Stegostoma tigrinum: one gene and its partner. The protein of the gene in region 2 interacts with the protein of the main gene of each other region in a biochemical or structural test. Links are inferred from orthologs where the notes say so. Each region holds a gene or a part of one and is shown on either strand. Other genes may lie near its edges.

Evidence for each region.
Region 1: of the proteins of stub1 (region 2) and bag1, one has a biochemical effect on the other in vitro, tested with the Homo sapiens proteins (3 studies listed by BioGRID, with this or other methods). The link is inferred for Stegostoma tigrinum from reciprocal best matches to the Homo sapiens genes STUB1 and BAG1.

The regions. Positions count from the first base shown.
Region 1 is NC_081355.1:88,368,596-88,372,348, reverse strand, and holds the start of bag1 (BAG family molecular chaperone regulator 1), read right to left. Parts: upstream 2,589-3,753; 5' UTR 2,514-2,588; coding exon 2,477-2,513; intron 2,449-2,476; exon of another isoform or gene 2,298-2,448; intron 1,765-2,297; coding exon 1,636-1,764; intron 1-1,635. UniProt on the Homo sapiens protein: Co-chaperone for HSP70 and HSC70 chaperone proteins. Acts as a nucleotide-exchange factor (NEF) promoting the release of ADP from the HSP70 and HSC70 proteins thereby triggering client/substrate protein release.
Region 2 is NC_081376.1:48,039,364-48,043,116, forward strand, and holds the start of stub1 (E3 ubiquitin-protein ligase CHIP), read right to left. Parts: upstream 2,163-3,753; 5' UTR 1,783-2,162; coding exon 1,669-1,782; intron 1-1,668. Other genes in the region: uncharacterized protein zgc:112496, read left to right, coding at 3,509-3,651. UniProt on the Homo sapiens protein: E3 ubiquitin-protein ligase which targets misfolded chaperone substrates towards proteasomal degradation.

The DNA of each region.
Region 1 (3,753 bases), on a different chromosome or scaffold from region 2:
CCTCTCTGATACCCTCTCCAATAGTACTAGCAAAATGTCCTGGAAGGAACTCAGTCCCGGCTCTGTTCAGGTGCAAATAATCCAGCTTTACAATTTCCTTGTTTCTCAGAGCTAATTACAACATTCCAAGAATCTAAAGCCCTTCCTTATGCACCACCTTTACAGGTATGCATTCATCTGTCCTATCCTAGTTCTGTACTCATTTACAGATAGCACTGGGAGTAACGTACAATTATTACGTTTTGCGTTCCTACTTACTAATTTTCTACCCAGTTCCCTATGCTCAGGCTGTAGGACGACTCATGTCATTGGTTCCAGCATGGAGTCTGGCTATTGGCTGTTCATCCTCCCCCTTCAGGGTGCTGTACAATTACTTAGTGACATCCTTCATTACAGCACCAAAGAAGCAACACACTGTCACACTTGTGGTTCAGAAACATTTTTCTATTCCCCTATCAAATCATCTATCACTTGGCTTTTTCTGTCTTTATACCACCCTGTGCAGCTAAGCCTCCACTCATCTGGAGAATGCTGCAAGAGCCATCTGCCATATTAGATTCCAGAATTAGATATTAGTTGAAAACTGTACTATCTGCCTGTTCCTTTTTGATTACTTAGTGGTCACCTATTCACTCTCTCCCTACACAACTTCTAGCTGCAGCATGATCACATTGTAGCTCTGAAACCCAGAATTTAAGCTGCTACAACTAATGACACCTGCAGCATAAATGGTTATCCAGGATATGAGCATCATCCTGGAGTTCCCACATCAAAGTTGAAGAAGCCCTGCCATTTTTTTGCTTATCCGTGAACATTGCTACTACAAAAAGAACAACAAGTACTCTTGGTCTACGACTCACTCAGGCACAGACACAATCACTTTACTGACACATACAGAAACTGAAGTGGGCCAGCAGCAATAAATGCAAACGCAAGTCAAAGGCTGGGAAATCTGAGGTAATTTACTTCCAAACTCACCATAGCCTAGCTATCTAAAAATAAGTTTGGAGTCTTGACTGATTAATTTGCAGTTGCCTGGATGTCTGAGGCTCCAATAACAGTCCCTCCACCAGAGCACAGCAGCAGTAGTGTATACAATCTACAAAAAAAAACTGTCACAGCCTGCCAAGCCTCCTTCAGAAGCACCATACAAACAGGTGACCTGTACCACCTCAGAGGAAATGGCAGCAGATACATGGGAACTTCACCTGAGACACCATCCCGACTTGGAACCATATTGCTGTTCTTTCATGGTCACAAGTGAAAATCCTGGAGTTCCTTTGCCAACAGCACTGGAGTGGGGTCCATGCCAAATGGACAGTAACATTTCAAGAAGATCACACACCACTTTCTGCTTGAGTGCAATTAGAAAAGGGCAATAAATGCCAATCCTATCAATGATGTGCAACTGCACGATCAGAAGTTCATGTCCAGATCAAATATCAAACCAAGGTTACAAACTGGCTAGACTGCTAAAAGCTTTTGACTTGAGAGTATACCAAATTGTACTAATGCAAAAAATTATCTAATGTGTCAAATCTGTGGAACTTTTGTATCACAAGACCATTAGATAGTCACAACGTGGATGATAAATTATTTCATGCACTGCCCATCTTTCCAATGTGTCATGATTACCTTTAAAGATTAGTTTCTGCAGTTGCTGGGGTACTCCAGTAACTTGAGCAATAACAGTTGCCATGTCCTGCAATGTAGGTTCACATCCTTCCTGTACAGCAGAAATTTCAATCTTGTGCTTTGAACTACCTAAGAATGAAATATAAATACAACAGTAAACATATTCCAGCTTCTGAAAAGGCACTCTGCAGTATCCTAATAAACAGATGAAATTAATCTATTTGCATATAATTTGCATTACATTTAATTGTTGCATACAGCATACACAATGAGGTGTAGGCCTTTGGATTCAGACTGTTTCTTATCCACATTTAAACCTCCCATAGTTTTATGCCACAATGTCTCACGTGCTATAAAAATGCAGAATTATATTCCCATATTCAGAGAAATTACAAGAGACCGTTCAGGCCTGTACGTCCATAACTCTGCAGCAGCAAATTTGTTCCACTCCCAGCCCTTTCCATGAAACCCCACCATTTATTTTCTTCTTCAGATAATTATATCATTCCCGATTGAATCTGTCTCCATCACAGTATAAGGCAGTGTTTTATAGTCCATGAAGAGATGTATCAGAGATTCCTCTGCCCCTCGATCACTGAGATGGCAGGTATACTGTAGATGAACGGCTGGGCTGGGCTGCAGGATGACTGAAGCCAACTCACTTTGCTAATTAACAGTGAATGCAGACAGGCTGAGTGTGCAGACACAGACAGAGCTTGCCCGGGCTCTGCAGCTCCTGGTGCTCATAGATTACCCGCTCCCTCCATCAACCGGACCCTGCACAAGGCTCCTTCGCTACCCCTTCTGACAGAGGAAGCAGAACCGAGTCACCGGCCATTACCGTGCATCAGGGTTAGTGCAACCGTATCGCCGGACATGTCTCCTCCAAAAAGCGCCTGTTTAACTTCCGCTCCGCAGCGGATGCCGGGTCGCGGACGTGGAGGAGACCAGGTTGGGACGCCATCATTGTGCGGGGCACAACCGGTGCAAATCGGGAAATTGTGTCATCTTTGTGAGGGGAACAACATCTGATGATCTGCATTTGAATAAATCTCAAATACAGATAAAGTGTTCGGAGATAGCAAGAACTATAGTTGGTGGATCCACTAATTCAAAGTGTTAGCCGAACCAACGATTGCATCCAGCACCCGCATTGCACTCTTGCACTTTCTTAAATCTGAGTAGGAGATTTTGAGGAGGACTGAGTCTCTTCCCACCAGATACTTTCATCTTTTGAGTATCGCTAGTAGGTAGACAGGGTCTCTAACAAGATAGCAGTGATATCAACAGAAACAAAATTAGTTATCAAAAACATACATTTAAGCAGTTTGTCACACACTAAATCTTTATACATTCTCATAAAATGACCAGAAATGCTTTGACTGCATTACAAATTAAAGATGAAAAGGGTAAAGATAGGAATTGTATTTATACATTTCATTTGATTGTTTTAACATACAATTAAAACCATTAAATAATAATATCTCCCCAGTCAGTTATTATTTCGATGGACTAAAACATTACTAAACAATTGTGTCTTATCTTGCCTGAAGGGGAGGCAAAGACCTACATTTTTCTTTCTTATTTAACCTATTTTTCTAATCTATCTGTTAAGAGATGTTGTTACACACCTCTCGAGCAGATGGGACTTGAACCCAGGCCTCCTGGGTCCAGGGGGTAGGGACACCACAAAAGGGCCCCCTACATTTTAACCATCAAGAACAGCACACACTTTCAATACTGTCCGCCTTTAGTGCTGAAAGCCTTGTTCATGTAATCATGTTTGCCACCTCTAGATTCTTGTTTGAATTTTTCTGGTTACTTACCACTTCATAATAAAATTTTATCTGAAGTTGAGGCTGCATTGTTCTGCAATAAGAACAATCCCTCTTCTTAATGACTTACTTTGATTCCATGTGCCCTAATGTTCAAGAAATTAACATATTTAACCGCACCCATAAATCCCTTTGTCCTGTCCCTCTACAAGTTCTACATACCAATTCCTTGTGTAAAGTTATCAGGGAAAAGCTCAATTTTATGCATCTAGTTTTATGCCATGGAGATGTGTGCTTAAAATCACGTTATATAAGAATAAAAATTGTGATGTTATTCAACAAA
Region 2 (3,753 bases):
GACTCCCTTGGGGTCAAAAATCTGTCCAGCTCAACTGTCCAGCTTAACTATATTTAATAACAGTTTCCACTGCTCCACTGTGGTAGACAATTCCGGGGATTAATAACCCTTAGAAATGTAAATTATTTTCTATCTTGAATGACACACATCTGATTCTGAAACTCTGCCCCAAGTTCTAGTCACCCGTATGAGGGAAAAAAACACCCTCTTAGTATCTAACCTGAAAAGCCACTTCTGAATGTAAATCGAGAAAATCACCTTTCACCTTCTTAAATTCAAGTGGGTACAGGAGCCAACCTGCTCTATCTTACCTCACAAAACAAGCCCTTCATTCCAGGAATCAAATTAGAGAAGCTTCTCTAAACTGCTCACAATTTGCAAGCACATTCCTGGCAAAAGGGGCAGCACAGTGGCTAGCACTGCAGTCTTACAGCACCAGGGGCCCAGGTTCGATTTTACCCTCTGACGGCTGCGTGTGGAGTTTGCACATTCTCCCCGAGTCTGCGTGGGTTTCCTCCAGGTTTCCTCCCACAGTCCAAAGTTGTGCAGGTTAGATGGATTGGCCATGCTAAATTGCCCATAGTGTTCAGGGATGTTTAGGTTAGGTGTGTTAGATGTGGGAAATTAGGGGAATGGGTCTGGGTGGGATGTTGTTCGGAGGGGTTCTGTAGACTTGTTTTGCCAAATGGCCTGTTTCCACACTGTAGGGATTCTAAAACAGAGATCAAAAGTGCATTCATACTTAACTGCGGTACCACATATGTCCTATGCAGGAACAGCTAGACATTTTATACTTCAGCCCCTTGCAATAAATTCCAACATCCTATTTGAAACCTTAATTATCCACATGCCAACTTTTGTTAATCATGTCCAAGGGCACCCAGGTCTCTTTGTACGACACCATTCTATAGTCTCTCTCCATTTAAATAACATACTGCTTTTCTATTCTTCCCATCAAACAACACGTTTTTCCACCTTGTACTCCATCTACTAAACAGTTACCCAGTTATATGACCTATCTACAGTACATACTTTTCCAAACACTGATTCCTCCTCAGAGCTTTGCATTTTATACCAATACCACAATATCAAAATGGCTGAGTGTAAAAAGACACATACAGAAGTAAGAGCCTGTTACAATACTGTGATCTAATAATGCTTTCAACAGCATTATAAACAGCCAGGAACAACTTTAGGTAATTTCTGATCACACAGATTCCAAGATTCATCACTTAGACACAGACAGTCTTGTATACACAAGTCCTACGAATTGATGCAACAAGTTCATAGACGTATTTTCAAATAGTCATCTACTTTCTGATTCAGGTAATCCCTCTAGGCATACAAACGCACAGAATTAAACGCTTATATCTGCTGGATTTTGAGCCGTCGGCGTTGAGTCATATAGCTGCACCGAATAACCAGACCCTGAGATAACAAAGTGTAAAGCTGGATGGACACAGCAGGCCAAGCAGCATCTTAGAAGCAGACCCAGGGCATGACTGCTCATCCTGAAGGGTCACCTGAACCCTTTCGTTCTGGCGTTTGGCATTCGAAAATTATAAAGCAGGAGTGACAAAGCATAATGAATGAGGGGCATTTCATGAGCTCGGGGGGTGAAGAGGTTTTGTTCCGTGGCCTCTCCCCGGCACCGGCCGAGATACTCACAATAGCCTTGCTGTAGGAGGCCGCGGCTTCCTGATACTTTCTGCTGAGGAACAGGCGGTTTCCTTGCTCCTTCAGCTCCTGAGCAGTCAGGCTCTTCTCGGGGCTTCCGGACATGCTGCAGCTTTACCTCCCCCCGCACCCCGGGTGAAAGCAGGACACAGGGGGGAAAAGAGAGAGAGGGGGTGAAGTAAAACCCGGCTTCCCCGCAGCTGCTGGAAGGCCTGAGGGTGTAGGACAGTCCCCAGGCTGTGAGGGAGCGTGTGGGGAGTCCTAGGCCTAGGCCCAGTGGTCGGGGGAGGGGCGGCTGCGCTGATATGAGGAACCTCCGGGGGGAATGAGGCCGGCCTCAGGCGCTCAGAGGCGGGACACACCGGGCGAGGAGGAATCGGCCCGAGGAGCGGCGCCCGCTGTTTGTGTACAAACCGCACGCAACCGGCCGCGCACAACGGCGTCATCCGCCGCCGACGTGAGCGCGCCCGGTGACGGCATCTCCCGGCGCGGCGGGCGCCCGTGTCGTCCGCCGCCGCGTCCGCTGAACTCATCTCCTGGCGCCGCTACGGCCGAGTGAGCGATTCAGGACGCGACGGTAGCCGCCCCCGTGAAGCAGGACCGCCGCCATCTTGATAATGGAAATCTTCCTTTCCTCCCCATAACCGCTCCATCCCTCCGCCGCTGTGTGACCAGGATTGATACCATTAACTTATAAAGTCGGGGTAAATATTAACTAACCCAGAGAGTGGCGACTGTGATTGATTGACTGCCTGAGGAGGATGATAAGAATCAGGAACCCTCAGCACGTTGAAGACGTTTTGGGATGAACATTTGAAACGTTGGAGCACACAGGAACCTTTATTGGTGCGGGTGGTGTGTCCCCACCTCTGGGCCAGAAGTCCTGGCTTCGAGCCCCACCTGCTCCGGAGGTGCCTAATAACGTCTGTGAACAAGTTCAGATAAAAAAAAAATCTAGACGGCTAAGGACCAAGTGCGGGAAAATGGGATTAGAATGAACGAATGGATGGTTGTCTGATGACTAGCAGTGTTATGATGGGCTGAAGGGCCTTTTCCTCAAGCTGTTTACAATTCTACGATTTCTTTTTCACAGCGGGTCTTTGGAACTCTGCCAAAAAAACCGTGGCAGTAGAGTCCCTGAATATTGATTGTTTTCTTTAAATCATTATGGGATGTGGGCATTTATTGTCCACCCTTAATTGCTCAGAGGGCAGCTAGGAGTCAACCAGATTACTGTGGATTTGGAGTCACATGTAGTCTAGACCAGAAAAGGATGGAAATCTCCTTCCCTAAAGTGCATTAGCAAATCAGATGGGTTTTCCCACAACAATTGACAGTGGATTCATGGTCAACATTAGACTCATAATTCCAGATATTTATTGAATTCAAGTTCTAAAAGTCTGCATTGCTAGGAATCAAACCCAGGTCCCCAGGACCTTAGATAATAAAATGTGAGGCTGGATGAACACAGCAGGCCAAGCAGCATCTCAGGAGCACAAAAGCTGACGTTTCGGGCCTAGACCCTTCATCAGAGAGGTTAGGGTTAGGGTTAGGGACCTTACTTGGGTTTCCCTAGATTAACAGTCAAGTGATAACACCACTGGATCATTCCTTCCCACTTGGTGGTGAAATGTTGTCTTGGGGAGGTGGGTATGTGGAATGATCAAATCATATTGAATGTTCTATGGACTCAAGGCACTCAGTGACCTACTGCTTCTGATTTGTACATCCCTAAGGTTTGTGTTTCAAAAATGATTAGTGCAACAACATTTGTGCAGTTATAAATGTCATTTTTATTTGCAGGTTGAAACTGCTTAATGAATAAAGTAACATGACCGGACATGAAATATTGTTTAACTGCAAGAATCCTACCGTATGGAGGTCCATTTTTGCTCTCTATGGGGATGTGGTTGAAGCCAAGGCAATGGCATCCAAAGGGAAGAAAACAGGCAAACTGACTGCACTGGATAAATGGTGAGTTGTTTAGCTTTCTTCCCTAATTTAAAAGACAACAGCTCATGAATTACTTTTGGGGAAGGGCAAGTGGAGGGTTGACTAGAGACAACTCATATTGTA